Linked DNA regions of Macaca mulatta. The protein of the gene in region 1 purifies or fractionates together with the protein of each later gene. This does not show direct contact. Links are inferred from orthologs where the notes say so. Each region holds a gene or a part of one and is shown in the gene's direction. Other genes may lie near its edges. The genes, in order: OTUD1, FLNA, FLNC and AIFM1.

What was found.
Region 2: the proteins of OTUD1 (region 1) and FLNA purify together in Homo sapiens (affinity purification with mass spectrometry; 3 studies listed by BioGRID and IntAct, with this or other methods). This does not show direct contact. The link is inferred for Macaca mulatta from reciprocal best matches to the Homo sapiens genes OTUD1 and FLNA.
Region 3: the proteins of OTUD1 (region 1) and FLNC purify together in Homo sapiens (affinity purification with mass spectrometry; 3 studies listed by BioGRID and IntAct, with this or other methods). This does not show direct contact. The link is inferred for Macaca mulatta from reciprocal best matches to the Homo sapiens genes OTUD1 and FLNC.
Region 4: the proteins of OTUD1 (region 1) and AIFM1 purify together in Homo sapiens (affinity purification with mass spectrometry; 3 studies listed by BioGRID, with this or other methods). This does not show direct contact. The link is inferred for Macaca mulatta from reciprocal best matches to the Homo sapiens genes OTUD1 and AIFM1.

What each region holds. Positions count from the first base shown.
Region 1 is NC_133414.1:24,894,850-24,899,641, forward strand, and holds OTUD1 (OTU domain-containing protein 1), read left to right. Parts: upstream 1-1,586; 5' UTR 1,587-1,983; coding exon 1,984-3,426; 3' UTR 3,427-4,657; downstream 4,658-4,792. UniProt on the Homo sapiens protein: Deubiquitinating enzyme that specifically hydrolyzes 'Lys-63'-linked polyubiquitin to monoubiquitin.
Region 2 is NC_133426.1:160,544,033-160,548,160, forward strand, and holds part of FLNA (filamin-A), read left to right. Parts: intron 1-663; 5' UTR 664-779; coding exon 780-1,152; intron 1,153-3,954; coding exon 3,955-4,128. UniProt on the Homo sapiens protein: Promotes orthogonal branching of actin filaments and links actin filaments to membrane glycoproteins. Anchors various transmembrane proteins to the actin cytoskeleton and serves as a scaffold for a wide range of cytoplasmic signaling proteins.
Region 3 is NC_133408.1:168,478,739-168,482,866, forward strand, and holds part of FLNC (filamin-C), read left to right. Parts: coding exon 1-18; intron 19-236; coding exon 237-354; intron 355-444; coding exon 445-707; intron 708-1,098; coding exon 1,099-1,696; intron 1,697-2,405; coding exon 2,406-2,579; intron 2,580-2,701; coding exon 2,702-2,864; intron 2,865-3,144; coding exon 3,145-3,305; intron 3,306-4,086; coding exon 4,087-4,128.
Region 4 is NC_133426.1:136,618,801-136,623,582, reverse strand, and holds the start of AIFM1 (apoptosis-inducing factor 1, mitochondrial), read left to right. Parts: upstream 1-1,663; 5' UTR 1,664-1,755; coding exon 1,756-1,861; intron 1,862-4,782. UniProt on the Homo sapiens protein: Functions both as NADH oxidoreductase and as regulator of apoptosis.

The sequences.
Region 1 (4,792 bases):
CTTGGGAACTCGCTTTCCATCTACTCATTCACTTAGTAAATATTAATTAGGTCCAATTACGTGCCAGGTACTGTGTTAGGGAATGGAAATTTAAGAGCAAGACCCAAGTCTCTCAATTCATGGAATTCACATTCTACTGGAAAGGTTGGGGACCGGATTACAGCCTACATCACCTACAGGTTCAGTCTCCCTATCTCTAAAATGTTAGGACAACCTCTAGGTTCAATTTGAATGTTTGGAGCCTGTTAATTTAGCATTTGATCAAAGCTCAGAATACAGCAAAAGTCTCCCACTACCTCTGGCTTTCCCTTACAAAGGTGGGTATTACAAAAAGGCTCGGTAGAAGTATTTTCTATAGCCTATCTTGCCCCAGAAGGCAGGTCACGACTTTCTCTACCGCTTTTGACCTCTGGCTAGCAATCGCATCTATTTTCAAAAGGCCCTAGGTGATACTGCATTTGGTATTCTGAGAAAGGCTGTTTATAAAGGGCTAAAAGGCTTCCTTGCTTTCGCCCAAGCAGGTATTTGCCAAGTGACATAGGTCAGAGGTGCAGAAAAGTTGGTTTTGTCTTCGCAGGGCAGGAGAATCCACTAGAGGACTCACCCTTAACAGGTGGGTCCAAGGAAGTGCATAGAAAAGACGCAGTGGTAAAACTAGCTGGGCACCTGTAATCCCTGCCCAAGGCAAGGCTGAGGAAGGGGGATCGCTTGGACCTCGGAGGTGGAGGTCGCAGTGGGGCATGATGGCGCCACTGCAGTCAGCCTGGAAGGCAGAGCAAGACCTTGCCTTAAAAAGGAAAAGAAAAAAAAAAAAAAAGAGGAAAAGACTCGTGGTGCCAGGATTGGTGGCTAGGGCCTGTAATCCCAACACTTTGGGAGGTCAAGGCGGGAAACAACTTGAGGCCAGTAGTTCGATACCAGACTGGGCAACTGTAATAGTGAGACCCTCGCCTTAAAAAAAAAAAAAAAAAATTAGCCGGGGGCGGTGGTGCACACCTGGGTTGAGGTGGGCGGATCGCTTGAGTCCGGGAGGTCAAAGCTTCAGTGAGCTATGGACTGCGCCACTACACTCCAGCTTTGGAGATAGGTGAGACCCTCATCTCTAAAAAGATAAAAGAGGCAGTAGTGGATGCAAGGAGGGATGGTAGCCCATGACCATGCAGAGGCCAAACAGCATTCTGTTCTCCACACCCATGCCAGAAGCTTTCCTGCCAAGCAAGCTTTCCGAGCATGCTAACTCGCTCCAAGAAGCGCCCATCCCGCAGCACCCACTGCAGCCGCTGCGGAGAGTGGTGCAGCGCAGAAACCCGTGCCCAGGTCGGGGAAGCGGTCTGCGGGAGTCACGTGGGCGGGAGGCCCAGCCAGGAATTCCCGGACTGCTCAGGCCTCCGAGCCCCCGGCCTCGCCCCGCCCGCGCGCGCGACGAGGGCCACGCCCGTGACGTCGGCGGAGCGGAGCAGGGGGCGGGGCGCGGGCCGGAGTGGGCGGGGCGAGCCGACGCGGCTGAATCGGGCGCCGAGACAAGCCGCGCATTCCAGCGAGTCCACGTGACGCGGCCGCGAGGCCTGAGGTAAACAACCGCGGCCCCGCCTCCCGGGCCTCCGCGCGCACCGCGCTCCTCCTCGCCGGCAGGACGCGCTCCAACGAGGCGGGCGGCTTCCTCCGTGAGTCCCCAGCGGCCGCCGCAGGCCGGAGCAGCTGCAGCGGGCGCGACGCCCCGGGTCTGCGGGCTGAGCGCACCGGCAGGAGTCGAGCTCGCGTCCCGTCCCCGCCCCCCCCACGCTGTGGCGCAGCAGGAATTTGGCCGGGACCCGGGCGCTATTCGCGGCTGCTGACGCGCGGCGGCCAGCGGCCTTGCGCTCATCTCTATTCTGGGGCCGTTGGGTCACCGCGCTCCGCCGGCCCCCTCCCCCGGGCCCGGAGGGTGTGTCCCCCGCTCCGGGGCTCGCCGCGCCTATAAGGGGCCGAGCGGCGGGCAGGGACATGCAGCTCTACAGCAGCGTCTGCACCCACTACCCCTCCGGGTCACCGGGTCCCACGGCCGCCGCCCCCGCGCCACCCGCCGCCGCCGCCCCCACCTTCAAGGTCTCGCTGCAGCCCCCGGGAGCCGCCGGCGCCGCGCCCGAGCCCGAGACCGGTGAGTGCCAGCCCGCCGCGGCCGCCGAGCACCGTGAAGCCGCCGCTGTCCCCGCCGCCAAGATGCCCGCCTTCTCCTCCTGCTTCGAGGTGGTGTCCGGGGCCGCCGCGCCCGCCTCTGCCGCCGCCGGCCCGCCTGGCGCGTCCTGCAAGCCGCCGCTGCCGCCGCACTACACGTCCACCGCGCAGATCACCGTGCGGGCCCTGGGCGCCGACAGGCTCCTGCTGCACGGGCCCGAGCCCGCTCCCGGCACCGCGGGCTCCGCCGCTGCCCCGCGCGGCCGCTGCCTCCTGCTGGCCCCAGCGCCCGCAGCCCCGGTCCCGCCGCGGCGGGGCTCCTCGGCCTGGCTCCTGGAGGAGCTGCTGCGGCCCGACTGCCCCGAGTCCGCGGGCTTGGACGCGACACGGGAGGGGCCCGATCGGAACTTCCGACTGAGCGAGCACCGCCAGGCCTTGGCCGCCGCCAAGCACCGAGGCCCCGCGCCGACCCCGGGGAGCCCCGACCCCGGTCCGTGGGGCGAAGAGCATTTGGTGGAAAGGGGCCCTAGGGGCTGGGAGAGGGGCGGCGACCGCTGCGACGCTCCCGGTGGGGACGCGGCGCGGAGGCCCGACCCAGAGGCCGAGGCACCCCCAGCCCGGAGCATCGAGACCGCCCCGAGCAGCGCGGCGGAGCCGGTGATCGTCTCCAGGTCAGATCCCAGAGACGAGAAGCTGGCCCTGTACCTGGCCGAGGTGGAGAAGCAGGACAAGTACTTGCGGCAGAGGAATAAGTACCGATTCCACATCATTCCCGACGGCAACTGCCTCTACCGAGCTGTCAGCAAGACGGTGTATGGGGACCAGAGCCTGCACCGGGAGCTGAGGGAGCAGACGGTGCACTATATCGCCGACCATCTCGACCACTTCAGCCCCCTGATTGAGGGCGACGTGGGGGAGTTTATCATCGCTGCTGCCCAAGACGGGGCATGGGCTGGGTACCCGGAATTGCTGGCCATGGGGCAGATGCTGAATGTGAATATCCACTTAACTACTGGAGGGAGGCTGGAGAGCCCCACGGTGTCTACTATGATTCATTATTTGGGCCCAGAGGATTCCCTGAGGCCTAGTATTTGGCTCAGTTGGCTCAGTAACGGACACTATGATGCTGTATTTGATCACTCCTATCCTAACCCAGAGTACGACAACTGGTGCAAACAAACTCAAGTGCAAAGGAAACGCGACGAAGAACTTGCCAAATCTATGGCCATATCCCTATCCAAAATGTATATTGAACAAAATGCATGCTCTTGAAATGTCTCAAAACCTTACACCCTGGGAATAATTGCATACATAACTTGTGTTTGGAGAATCACATGAACTCTAATCAGGGTAATAGCACTTTCAAACTTGCTAGTAGATTTTATTGTAGGTGTAATGCCTTAATCATCTTTTTGAATGTTTTCTCGGAGCTGAAGGTTGCTGGGCCACCTAAATGATGTTTCATGATAGCTTTGGGTGATTTTATTGCTATTTATAATTTGCTGTATAAAGTGAGCACTACTTAATTTGCAAGCTGATTTCTCACAGTGTAAATTTGTTCATTCCTGGTAGTCTATTTTCTATAAAAATGTATTTTTGCACAACATTTTTAAAAACTGGTGTACCTTCATCTATGATGTGTTCAGGCATAAATCCAGAGAAGTGCTTTATATGAAATGTATTATTTTGAACAGAATTTGTGATTTGGTAGTTATTTTATGTTGTTGAAATTTGAATTTCACAATTCTTAGATAATTATTTCAAATGGATATTGAAACATTCTTGTTACCAGATGTTTGGCCCATTCCATTTTGATGAAACAGAGCTGTTGTTTTGGAAATCATTATTTTTCTAGAAATGGTGAATCTTTTAAAGAAAATTATCTAATGGAAGGTTGTGGGAAGGTGTTTTTTTTCTTTTTTTTCCTGTTTTAAGGGATAGTACCAGGTCTTACTTGAATGAAAGTCTGATATTTGCTGATGGCAGAATGGTTATTCTGTACCCTGGTTGATATGTAGAGTAGATCGTCTGGTGCTCTCAATTGTTTTTATTGACATTTGTTATTTTGTTATAAAGAGAATGTTAATATGGTATAAAACTCTGTGACAAGATAAGCCTCCTGCTTTAACTTCTTGGATCCAACTAAGAGATTTATAAACTAATGGCATAAATGTCTGGAGCCACCCTTGGCAGTTAGAGCAGGAGAACACTGTCTTAATATTTCTTTTACATTCTTTCAGAAGGTGAAATAGGATTGCCCTGTATTAATGTAGAAATGTCTGTAAACAGAGCTTGTATGGTTTGCTGGGTCAAACAATGTTTCCAACTTAAAATCTATCTCATTGCCACTTTAACTACTTTTAGTCATATTTATTAAGTAATGCAGTTTGTACTTTTTTTATTTTGTAACATTTTGTGATTTTTTTGTACAAAACTGTATTTGTACAATAGAGCAATTCCCAGCTGATGGAATGAATGAATAAAATGCAAAATTATACTTTTACAATGTCTTTTGGATAGAGTGGTTTTTAAATTGTAGTGTTTGTAGGAAACTTTCTTACACGTATGCATGTAAAGATGCATTTTTTTTTCCGTAAAGATGCCACAGCAATAGGTTTCCTAAATTCTCACATAAAGA
Region 2 (4,128 bases), on another chromosome or scaffold:
TGGGAAGGCAGGCCCGTGGCAGGGGGTCTGCGGGGACCGCGTAGGCGCAGGCCTTGCCCTGCAGCCGCTTCCCAGGTGATGCGCACACAAAGGGCCCTCGGCAGTGCCTGGTCCGGGGCCGCCGCTCTCCAGGGGTTCGCTCTTAGGGTTGGCCCCTTCCCGCCGCTGCCGGGGCGGCGGACCGGGATGCCGCCCGGGAACCCTAGGCCCTGGGGGCCCGGGGAAAGGGGATGACGGTGGGAGGGTAGGGTTGTGCAGGGACGGGGCAGAGCCCAAGTGACTTAGGGACGAGAACCACCCCACCCCTCGCAGGAGCCCTGGGGAAGGAAAGTCCCTTGTAAGGCGCGCCGGCTGCAGGCCAAGCAGTCCCGCGCCAGATACTGCTCAGCCTTTCCTCGCTCTGGGGCGCGTTTCCTGCAGCGCCAACGCGAGGCCGCGGGGCTGGGAGCATCCTTGCCCACTCCAGGGCCCAGCGACCCACCCCGGAGCCCGGGTTTCACGTCTGATCAGCCAAAGCCCGGGGCCTAGTGGGGGCATTCCAACGGGCGGGGCGGGGTGGGGCAGTCGCGCCCCCGAAGCCCCACCCCACGGCCCCTCCCCGCAGGAGGCCCGCCCCCTGGCCCCGCCCCCCGCCCGCATTTAAAGGGCTCGCTCTCTCCGCAGCGCAACCTCTGCTTCCTTCCTCGCCTCCCGCGCGCCGAGGTGCCTGCGACTTTAATTAAAGGGCCGTCCCCTCGCCGAGGCTGCAGCACCGCCCCCCCGGCTTCTCGCGCCTCAAAATGAGTAGCTCCCACTCTCGGGCGGGCCAGAGCGCAGCAGGCGCGGCTCCGGGTGGTGGCGCTGACACGCGGGACGCGGAGATGCCGGCCACCGAGAAGGACCTCGCGGAGGACGCGCCGTGGAAGAAGATCCAGCAGAACACTTTCACGCGCTGGTGCAACGAGCACCTGAAGTGCGTGAGCAAGCGCATCGCCAACCTGCAGACGGACCTGAGCGACGGGCTGCGGCTCATCGCGCTGCTGGAGGTGCTCAGCCAGAAGAAGATGCACCGCAAGCACAACCAGCGGCCCACTTTCCGCCAAATGCAGCTTGAGAATGTGTCGGTGGCGCTCGAGTTCCTGGACCGCGAGAGCATCAAACTGGTGTCCATCGGTGAGGGACGCCCCGAAGCGCCGGGCGGGCGGGCGGGGGCGGGAATTCCGTGCGTCCTTCCATCCCCCCGGGCGGACCCCTCCAAACCACCTCCTTCCGGGCTGCGGCGCAGCTCCCGAGGCCCCCGGCTGGTCTGCTCCACGCGGGCCTGGAGAACAAAGGCGCGCGGGCTGGCGGGCTGGCCGGCCGGGCGTGCGAACCGCTACGCGCCCCCGCCCGCCGCGCCCCGGCTGGCCGGCGCCCAGGCTGAACTCACATCCTCAGCAGGCCGCGCCCCCGCAGATGTGCTCGCGGTGGGAGTGGGCCTGGGGGGTCGGGCACTGGGCAGGCTCTGGCCCTGCGCCCCATCCTCGAGGAGGAGGAGGCCCAGGCTCTCCCCCCACAGCTGTTTAGAGAGGGCCCTCTGGCTTCAGACTCCCCTTGTTTCTAAAGTGTGGGTTGGAGCTCGTGCGTCCCATTGTCTAGGACTCTGGGCTCTTTCTGTCCCTGGAGGATGCGTCGCCCATCGGAGATGGCTCCAACCACCAGTTTAGATCTACCTCCCCCACACACACAGGGAACCTGGGGGCCAGAAAGAAGCGTAGTTAGCAAAACTGTACCCGGAGTTGGGCGTGGTTGACTGAGGGACCTGGCTTGTAGACTACTTGGACGCCAACTTTTCTGTTCATCTTGGGACAAATTCTTGCTTCCATGTTGGCCTTGCTTTTCTGCGTATAGCACGCAGGAGTTGGTTGGTAGATGCTCCGGCGTGCACTGTGCCAGCCCAGTGTCTGTGTCACTGGACTGGTGAGGCTGGCATTGACCAGGCCTGCTGCAGCATCCCAGTTCTTTCTCAAGATAGGGGCTGCTTGGAAGGGCAGGCACCAGAACGGGTGACTTGGGGGTGACGTTGAACAGGGAGAGGAGAGGGATGATGATTCTTCTCTTCTTCAGAACTGAGAGGCCTTCCAGTTATCCCTGCAGCTCTGGAATGGCCCTTGCTGAACCCAAGAAAGTGAGGGACCAAGACTTGGGTTCCCCCAGCCACTCAGAGGGCAGATCCCAAGAATTGAAGTTCTTTCTTTGGAATGCCAGTTGAGGCGAGGGGCAGGCCCACCCCCCCAAGTCCCAGCCTCAGTCTAGCCAAGCTGAGTCATTTCAGAGTCCTGGATGGTGTGGGGGGGGGGCGACCGGATGTGGGGAGGCGGGCCACACCCCAGTTCTTTGGGGGGGGTCTCCTCCCTCCTCCCAGCTCCCCTCCTCCTTGTGAGCTGGCTGGAGCAGGCCTAGTTCCCAGAGCTTTGCCATATAAGGCAAAAAAATGTTGGAAAGCAGCAGTGATTAGGGGAGGGAGGGGCTGGCTGGCCCGGGGGCTGGGGAAAGGGGGTGGGATGGGGCGGGGCCATCCAGCCAGGCAGTCTCCCAGCCCTGGGCCCTGGTCCTTCACACTCTCTTTTGGGAGGGGGATGGGGACGGAGTAGGTTGGCCTAACATGGACCTGGTGGGCCTGGTTGCCCCCGGTGTGGGGGTCGTTAAGGGGTCTCAGGCTGGATTGGGGTGGGGGCCTGATGGGAAGCCCTGGCTGGCCTTGTTCCCTGGCCTTGCACCCTCAGTCCTCTCTGAGCCCCTCTCCCCGCTGCCATTTAGGGAGAGTGAAAGGCAGCCTCGTGGGGCCAGGACCAATCTGGGAACTGGGGAGGCCACTCTACTTTGAGCGGCCCACCTGGCCCTCCAGGTGCTGCCTGCTGGGCTGGGAAGCAGCTGCCGTGGACGGCCCAGCCCCTCCTCATAGACCCACCCCCTAGTTGACTCACCAGAGAAGTATTTTGTCTGATTATGGGAGAGGCTGACAGAGCTTCTAAAGATGAGCTCTTAGAAAGCCCAAACCATCCTGCCTTGAGCCTGAGACCCAGAAGTAGCTTTGGGTGGGGCCCAGAGCCCAGCAGGGTTGCCATGGCAATGGGGGGGGTGTCGGGGACCCGCCCTAACCACTTCCCCTGTGGCGAGCCTGCCGAGGCCCAGGCCCGTTAGGTGGCAAGTGGGTCAGGCAGTGGGTGGCAAGGGGGTTCCCACAGTGTCTCCTGCTGCCAGCCCGGCATCTCCCGATGGGCCCCAGTGAGTCAGGGCCATGTGGCCCAACTGCTGGTTCCTTTGGGCTCTGGGCCTCTCCCCTGGCCGGGCCTGTGGCCTCCCAGCTCCAAGCTTGGGTCTTCGAGGTAGTAGAGGAAGTGGAGGTGGTGGTGGGGGTCACACTCCTTTACCCAAAGGGTGTTTGCCCAACTCCCCCACTTCCCCTGCCTCACCCCACCCACCCTGGAACAACAGTTGTATTTCCCAACCACCCAGGGCCACCCGTCTTCCTCTTCCTCAGCCCCAGCCCCACTCCAGGCCATGGGCCCTGGATTCTGGGCCAGCTGGAGCCAATCTCCTCCTCCTGGTTCCCCATAGGCCCCTGAGGCGGGTGGCAGACCCCTGCTCTGGCAGCTGTGGACACTGTCCAGCTGTTCTCCAGAGCTGACCATCTGTGGGCTGGGTCTGCCCTCTGCCCTTCCTCTGGGCCCAGGGCTTCTGGCAGTAATCATACCCTGCTATCATCGCATGTCTGTGGGTATCTCCCCTCACCCCAAAGTCTCCTTTACTTCTGAACACCCCCTGGGATGCTGGGCAGAGAGGGCCTCATCCACATCCTACCACTGGTCAAGACGGGGTGTCTCCCTCCTCCTTGGCCCCCCCATCCCGTGCTACCAGACCATGACCCCAAAGCCTGGGAGCGGCCCCTCCCGCACAGCTGTGTGCCCAGTGTAGCCACTCTTGTACTCACAGACAGCAAGGCCATCGTGGACGGGAACCTGAAGCTGATCCTGGGCCTCATCTGGACCCTGATCCTGCACTACTCCATCTCCATGCCCATGTGGGATGAGGAGGAGGATGAGGAGGCCAAGAAGCAGACCCCCAAGCAGAGGCTCCTGGGCTGGATCCAGAACAAGCTGCCACAGC
Region 3 (4,128 bases), on another chromosome or scaffold:
TACACCGCTGTCCAGCAGGTGCGCTCTGCCCCTCCCATGCCCCCGCCTGACTGGACTGTCGGAGCTCTGGGTCTCCCTCCTCCAGTCCCATGGGACCAGTTCTGGATCCTCCATGCCTTCGCTGCCTCCTGCCCTCACTCTTGTGGTGGATCTGAGCTTCAGAGCCCATATTCACCACCAGGATGTTGCAGGACCGTGCCTTATACCCAGTTCTGACCTACCATTGTACCCAACAGGGCAACATGGCAGTGACAGTGACCTACGGCGGGGACCCTGTCCCCAAGAGCCCCTTTGTGGTGAATGTGGCACCCCCGCTGGACCTCAGCAAAATCAAAGTTCAGGGCCTCAATAGCAGTAAGTGGGGCAAGAGCCACCCTGGGAGTGAGGGGTGTTCGGGTGGGGTGGACCGGAGTCTCCTCATGGTGTCACTTGTCCTCCACGCAGAGGTGGCTGTGGGACAGGAACAAGCATTCTCTGTGAACACACGAGGGGCTGGCGGTCAAGGCCAACTGGATGTGCGGATGACTTCGCCCTCTCGCCGGCCCATCCCCTGCAAGCTGGAGCCAGGCGGCGGAGCGGAAGCCCAGGCTGTGCGCTACATGCCCCCGGAGGAGGGGCCCTACAAGGTGGACATCACCTACGATGGTCACCCAGTGCCTGGCAGCCCCTTTGCTGTGGAGGGTGTCCTGCCCCCTGATCCCTCCAAGGTGAGGAGATAGGAGCTGGTTGGGGCTGGGAGTTGGGGACTTGTCGGGAAGCTGGAAGAGTCATAGCGGGCAGAGGCCAGAGGGACTTATGTGCCTGGAGTGGGCACAGCCAAGAACGTGGGACTGAGACCAGCCCCACCCCACCACCTTCCTTGGAGACAACTTAGCTATTAAGAGCCTGGCCTTAGAGTCAGACCTGGGCTTGAATCCCAGGTCCACTACCTGGGGAAATTGCTTCATCTCTCTGCCTCCATGTCATCACCTGGAATTGTTATAAGCACTCAGTCTGCAATAGCAGCCACAGTTGGAGGTGATGAGTTAGGTGGGGGCCATGAAGGCTGGGATGGGAAGGCCGGGTGCAGGGAACCCACACACCTGCCTCTTCCCCTAGGTCTGTGCTTACGGCCCCGGTCTCAAGGGTGGACTGGTAGGCACCCCCGCACCATTCTCCATCGACACCAAGGGGGCTGGCACAGGTGGCCTGGGGCTGACCGTGGAGGGCCCCTGCGAGGCCAAGATCGAGTGCCAGGACAATGGTGATGGCTCATGTGCTGTCAGCTACCTGCCCACGGAGCCTGGCGAGTACACCATCAACATCCTGTTTGCCGAAGCCCACATCCCTGGCTCGCCCTTCAAAGCTACCATCCGGCCCGTGTTTGACCCAAGCAAGGTGCGGGCCAGTGGGCCGGGCCTGGAGCGCGGCAAGGCCGGTGAGGCAGCCACCTTCACTGTGGACTGCTCAGAGGCAGGCGAGGCAGAGCTGACCATTGAGATCCTGTCGGATGCCGGGGTCAAGGCCGAGGTGCTGATTCACAATAATGCGGATGGCACCTACCACATCACCTACAGCCCTGCCTTCCCCGGCACCTACACCATTACCATCAAATATGGCGGGCATCCGGTGCCCAAATTCCCCACCCGCGTCCATGTGCAGCCTGCGGTCGATACCAGTGGCGTCAAGGTCTCAGGGCCTGGTGTTGAGCCACATGGTGAGTGGTCAGGAGGAGCCAAGTGAGGTCAAGTGGCAGGTGCAGGAGCCGGATAGTCAGTGGGAGGGAGGGAAGCAGAGCTGAGGGCTGGCGGAGCCACCTGGCATGAAGGGAGGGCTCTCAGGGCAGCCCTAAAGTCCCTACTGGCCCAGAAGCCCCAGAGAAGGAGTGGAGGGGAAGACTGGGAGTGGAGACTGGCCTCCGCTCTTGTGGCAAAACTGCACCTGCCTCTGGGCGTTTTCCTGGAGAGGTCTCTTCTTTCATGTGCTTAAGGGGTGCTCTGATGCAAAAAGCTGCAACTCTGCTCTGGAGGGGGGCGGGGGAAAGCTCTGGGGTAGAGGATGACAAGAGTCAGGAGACAGTAAGTGGGAATGGGCCATCTGCCGGGGCCAGACCCTGGCCAGGCATGGGGCACGGCAGAGGGATGCAAGACCCAGGCCCACAGCCTGGTGGGTGACTCATGTGAACAGAGAATGTCACTACATGGAGAAGGGAGTGAAGGCAGAGGCTGGAGCTCACGGAGGTGCAGGGGAGGGTAGGGGGCCCAGCCTCTGATCAGAGGAGCAGCCTGGGAGTTGGGGAGTGGGAGAGGAGGGGGGAGGAGGGGAAGAGGAGAAGGAGAGGAGAGGGAGAGGAGGGGGAGAGGAGAGGGAGCATCTGTGTGAAGGCTGCCCCCACCCCTGCTGAGCATGCCACCCCTGGGCTCCAGGTGTCCTGCGGGAGGTGACCACTGAGTTCACTGTGGATGCAAGATCCTTAACAGCCACAGGCGGCAACCACGTGACGGCTCGCGTGCTCAACCCCTCGGGGGCCAAGACAGACACTTATGTGACAGACAATGGGGACGGCACCTACCGAGTACAGTACACCGCCTACGAGGAGGGTGAGGGCCGGTGGAGGGCCGGGCGAGCGGGCAGGGCCGGCCTCTGATGATATTGCGCTCGGGGCAGGAGGGGTGGTGGGGGTGCACACTCCCTGATTGATGCCCCTGTGGCTGGCTTCCAGGCGTGCATTTGGTGGAGGTCCTGTATGATGAGGTCGCTGTGCCCAAGAGCCCCTTCCGAGTGGGTGTCACCGAGGGCTGTGATCCCACCCGCGTCCGGGCCTTCGGGCCAGGCCTGGAGGGTGGCTTGGTTAACAAGGCCAACCGCTTCACTGTGGAGACCAGGTATCCTCCCCATTTGCTAGCCTAAACCTGTGACCACCCTTTCCCAGCCCCTGGCCCTCCTTGCTCGTCCCTCTGTCTGTACCTCAGCCCCACCCCATCCTCTCTCTGGGGTGAGGCAGGAGCAGACCCCCCGACAGGACTCCAGATCAGCCCCTGGCTCATTTCTCCTCAGCTGGGTCCCCAGCGGCCTGCCCTCTTTCCTCCCTGTCCCCCCATTCAGCTACTCCCTCATCTTCACTCACTGGTCTTATGAAGCTGATGGGGGGGTGTCATCTCTCAGGGGAGCCGGCACCGGGGGCCTTGGCCTAGCCATCGAGGGTCCCTCGGAAGCCAAGATGTCCTGCAAGGACAACAAGGATGGTAGCTGCACTGTGGAGTACATCCCCTTCACCCCTGGAGACTATGACGTCAACATCACCTTCGGGGGGCGGCCCATCCCAGGTGTGCAGAGAGAGTGGTCGGGGCCTCAGGGAAGACAAGGGAGGATGCAGGATGCTCACCCCACAAGGGGGAAACTGGAAGGAAGTTAGATGAGAACATTCATAGAGAGGATAGCCAAGAGCAGGTCGGGGCTGGAGCCCAGCCAGAGGGAGGACGTGGAGGAGGCAGGCAGTGAGGGTTGATGCGACAGCCCCCCAGTCAATCCCAGGAACACGCTCTGGCCTCCTAGCCCCTTGCCTGGAGCTCGAGACGTCGGCTGTGCAGGTCCACTGCTCAGTGTGTGTCTGGAAACTCAGACACCGCCCACTCCTCTTGGTGGCTCAGGCCAGCCTTGGGCCTTCTTGCCCGCATCGTCTGCAGAATTCCCCTTGCCTTCTGCAGGCCCAGCTGCCTGGACAGGTTATGTTTTCAAATATTGCATGACTTGGGACTGCTGAAATTGGAAGTATTTTCCCTTATCTAATTTCCCATCTTTTTATTATTTCAGACACAGTGTCAGAAATACATTTCATTTTTAAAAACATTTTATTTTCAGTTTATTAATTTAGGAAGGCCTTCTCTTCCAGGCCTGGGACCCACATGAGTGAGATTTGCCCAGCCTCAGTCAAGTTCATTTATTCTTGTGTGTGTTTTCTTAGCAAGTTCCTAGGCATTTTCCCATGTTGGTCTGGCTTCCCTATGGGCATTTCAAAGGCAGGGAAGGCCTCCTCCTCCAAGGCTCCTCAGCATCAGGGGGACCCATCAGGGCTGGTGGCAGGGTCTGATGTCCTTCTCCTCACAGGGAGCCCATTCCGGGTGCCGGTGAAGGATGTGGTGGACCCTG
Region 4 (4,782 bases), on another chromosome or scaffold:
CTGGGGTTTGTTTTTTCTTAAACACTTCCAAGCCTTTTCATTTAACAAACAGCATGGTGCTTCCTCTATGACACTTTACAAATATTAGCTCATTTAGTCTTCCGAACACCCTCATGAGATTGGTAGATGAGGAAAATGAGGCACAATTAAGTGACTTGCCCAGGTGGCAGAGCCATGATTCAATCTGGGTTGGTCTGGATCCAAGGTCAACATGTTTAACAATGAAAAATGTTATCTTTGGTCCCAAAGTATTCATCATCTGAAATATCATTCCTTTTCCTCCACGATTTGAATTTTACTACTCATCCTTCAAGATACAGCTCAAATAACTTCTTGTATGAAGTTCTTCCATAGCGATTCCATCCCATAGTCTTCTCTCTTGCTCTGTCCGGCACGACACCGGATATTAATTTCAATGACCGGTGTATGTCATCTCCCCAACTAGACAGTGGCCACTTCCTATACAGATGCTACGTCCAAATAAACCCATTGTAAATTGAAAATATCTTAAGTCAAAACTGCATTTAATACCCTGACAAACCCATCATAAAGTCGAAAAAACGTAAGTTGAACCATGGTTAAATCCAGATGCTCCTCGACTTACATGGGGTTAGGTCTCATTAAACCCATCATAAAGTCGAAAAATTGTTAAGTTGAACCATTGTGAGGGGTAAGTCGGGGACCATCCGTACTTTTCATACCCACTAGAGCCCCTTTTATAGTACAATCCAAGAGGCAAATGCTCAACAAATACTTGTTAAATGAATATGTAAGTTGAATATTTGAAACAGGCACATTTCATGCTCTGCATGCAGCCAAAACATTATTTCCAATTTAGCTTATATCTGGCAGAGTCAAAACACCTATTTATACTCAGCCCCTCACCTTACTCCCATAACTGAAAGTTCTGCTTAGAAGACTTCTCTTCCCATAAAGTCTGAGAAGCACAAACGCTTTTTGCTAACATCCTGCTCTCAAGCATCCTGAAACCACAGCAGGAGACCGTGTGTATCTGTAGCACCTGGTACAGTATCTAGGACACACAACTGCACTAAAAAATAAAGGTGACAGGCGGGAAGGAGAGCGCCGAATTACTCGTCCGCGAAACGGGTTGGGTGGGAAAGAGCCGGCAACTGGTAAAAGATGGCAGTACACGCCGGATCTGGGAAGCCAGGTTCCGCGCCTCGGACTCATGGAAAAATTGGATCTGGATCATAGCAAAAGAATCAGGAAGGCTTCAGTATCAAGTAACTAGTGGCCTAAAACCAAAAAACAAAGTGCGGTGCTGGGGCTACGCTGCTGTGAGATGCTGTTATCAGTTCCTGTCACCAACACAGCGACAGCACCAGGCACAACCGCCAATCAAAGCGGCCCCACGAGTCCCTCCTTGGACAGCTTCCTTAACTCGTTCAGTCCAACACCGTGCCACCAACTCGCGAATACTGGCTACCTAGAGCCAAGGTCTTTGCGAGCGTGCAGTCAGGTAGTGCATGCGCAAATCCTCTCGCCGTGCGGACCAATCGCAATGTGGCAGCGAGTGCTACGCCTGCGCAGTAGGCCTCCGGTCGCCGTTTCTCTTCCCCGGCTCTAGCAGGCCGGCTTCTCTGTCCAATGCCCACCCGGAGCTGGGAGGAGGAGTCTGCGTAGTGTGCGTGTGAAGAGACAGGGGGAGCTGGCCGGGGCTCGCGGTGTTTGACCCGTCGGTCGTGCGTGAGAGGAAAGGGAAGGAGGAGGACCCGAATAGCGGTCGCCGAAATGTTCCGGTGTGGAGGCCTGGCGGCGGGTGCTTTGAAGCAGAAGCTGGTGCCCTTGGTGCGGACCGTGTGCGTCCGAAGCCCGAGGCAGAGGAACCGGCTCCCAGGTGATTGACCCATTCCAGGCAGCCTCCAAGTCCAAGGGCCTGGCGCCTTAGGCTCTCTGTGCGTTGCAGCCCTCTACCCTCGCGTCCCCCGAGAAACTTAACACATAGTCGCGTGAATTCCAAATTGGCAGACTCCGAACCCTGAGTCTTGCAAGCGGAGGAATTGGTTCAGCCATGCCGACCTGACCTTCAAGAGATTTGAACCCAGTAGTCGGCCTGAGGCCTTTTCCGGGGAGCGTTTGCTGTTCAGGGATCCCAGAACAACTGGCCGTCGCCGCCTCCCCGCCATCCCCATTCCCCACCCCCCTTTTTAGAGCAATGAGGTCAAGTAGACTTTATCATTTACCGAATGAGACTTTAAACAGGACGTTTAAGACCTAAGCCTAAGTTTCTTGTGTAAATGAGGGTATTATCTGCTCAGCCTCGCAAACCATAGATGAGATCCATGGATTTGAATGCCCAGTGAAATAGAAACGGTGCAAGGCAAGTAAGGAGTCGGTCGGTTGTGCACCAGACACATAGAGAATTGGCCCAGAATTAATTGGAGATGCCTGAGCCGTGTAGTTCTTGGTGGTTTTTAAGGCTTCAAAGAAACAGTTTGCAGAACGCATTGTATTTGTCCTCCGTTAAGTTGTTCCATCAAATTTTAGAGCTGGAAGGGTTTTGTGGTAAAGTTCAACCCACTCATTTTATAGATAATAAACTGAGGCACAGAGAGGTGAAACTACTTGCCAAAGGTCACATCGTTAATAGGTAGAGCTAAGGATAGTTTGCTAGTCTCCAGGTCCTTAATCCCTTTGCTGTAACTCCATACTGCTTCCTAAAGTTGACCCCAAAAAGTTAATGAATTCGGGTCTCTTCCCAGTAATTAGCCCATTGTACATCAGATATCCCTGAATTTATCTGAGCATTGCTTGAGCCTGCTTATTTTCGTACTGCATTACTTCATGGGGACAATGAATGATCCACCTGTAGGAGCTGCTTTAAAAAAAAATCAGTAATCTTTCAGTGTCCATCCCCAGGGCATTTGCAATGTCGGAAGTTATCCTTGAGGCTTTTACAATACAGAAACACCTGGGTGCTTTAAAAATAAAAAGTGGAAAATGTTTTCCTTGGGTTGTTAGGGTCTTTGCAAATGTGCATTTGAACAGTTTTTCCAGTTGCTATGCACAATGAAAATGTTTCCTGATAGGTGTATTTGAGTTATGTCCTGGGACATATTGCTCTTGGAACTTAAAACCTCTGCTTAGCTTTTAAACTAATGCCTTATCAATGGATGTCATCTTTGTGGGTTTTGTGCATTGAAATGATGGTGCTCTGTGCTTGTTGCACAGAAACTGAAATAACCTGAATTTTTATTTATTTTTATTTATTTTTTTTTTTTGAGATGGAGTCTCGCTCTGTTGCTCAGGCTGGAGTGCAGTGGATGCGATCTCGGCTCACTGCAAGCTCTGCCTTCTGGGTTCACGCCATTCTCCTGCCTCAGCCTCCCAAGTAGCTGGAACTACAGGCACCCGACACCATGCCTGGCTAATTTTTTTTTTGTATTTTTAGTAGAGATGGGGTTTCACAGTGTTAGCCAGGATGGTCTCGATGTACTGACCTCGTGATCTGCCCGCTTTGGCCTCCCAAAGTGCTGGGATTACAGGCGTGAGCCACCGCGCCCGGCAATAACCTGAATTTTTTCATCCACACTGGCCTTTCAGACTTTGAGTAGTTGTTTTGCTTAAGTCTCACGACTTTTACCAGCATTCTAAAGTCTGACCAAAAGTTCTCATCAATTAAATATGCATTTGCAAAGTTAAGTTGATGTATTAGACATTGGAAAGTGGTTGGTGATGTTAGAACTACTGAAAAATACAGACTCCAGTGGTTTTTTCCACTGCATGTCTTTGTTTGAAGGCAGTCTACTGTAGAATATATTCAGACTTCCTGACATATCCATCCACCTCTTTGCATACACTTATTCTTTGTCCTTTGGCCATGCACCAAAGTATGACATCACCTGCCTTTAAAAATGGGTGAGGGTAGTGTTACAATTTCAAAAAGAAGTTCTGATACTCTCATTATAGGAATTAACTCTGTTTTGTGGCTTGATTACTAATTGCCTTTAATCTGATTTCTTTTTCATGTAGTAGCATCTACCATGTGTTTTTGCACAGGTGAGAAAGAGCGAGGTTCGTTTATACACCATTTCTCCCTCCACCTTACCTTTAAACTTCCTTTTTTTTTTTTTTTTGAGACAGAGTCTCGCTGTGTTGCCCAGGCTGGAGTGCAGTGGAGTGATCTTGGCTCACTGCAGCCTCTGCCTGCCGGGTTCAAGCAATTCTCCTGCCTCAGCCTCCCGAGTAGCTGGGACTAGAGGTGTGCACCACCACGCCCGGCTAATTTTTTGTATTTTTAGTAGAGACGGGGGTTTCACCATGCTGGCCAGGCTGGTCTCAAACTCCTGACCTCATGATCCGCCTGCCTCGGCCTCCCAAACCTTTAAACTTTAAACCTGCCTTGCAACTATCTCATTGACATCTGTCACCATTGTCAGGTTCATTTCCATTAGATGTTGCATTCTGCCTTAAAACCATGATAGCTACTGTTTATTTACTTTATTTATTTGGATGCTCTGCCTCCTTCCAGAAATGATTGAAGGTAACTCATAGTCAACACTCTATGTCTGCATTCAGACACAGAGGAGCAGATAGGTTAGATAATAGATATTTTCTGTTCTGTAATATTTTGTTTGGTCACCAAACACTGCCGCCCATGTTATCAAACTGATCACCGACTCCCTGACTGTAGGTTCAAATGTTTGAACATTTTTCTCTATTCGGAATCCTTCTCACCTCTTCAAAAAGGAAACTGAGCTCCTTGTGGGCAAGGATCCTGGCTTTCTGGACACTGCCAAATGTGACTTCTTTTTGAAG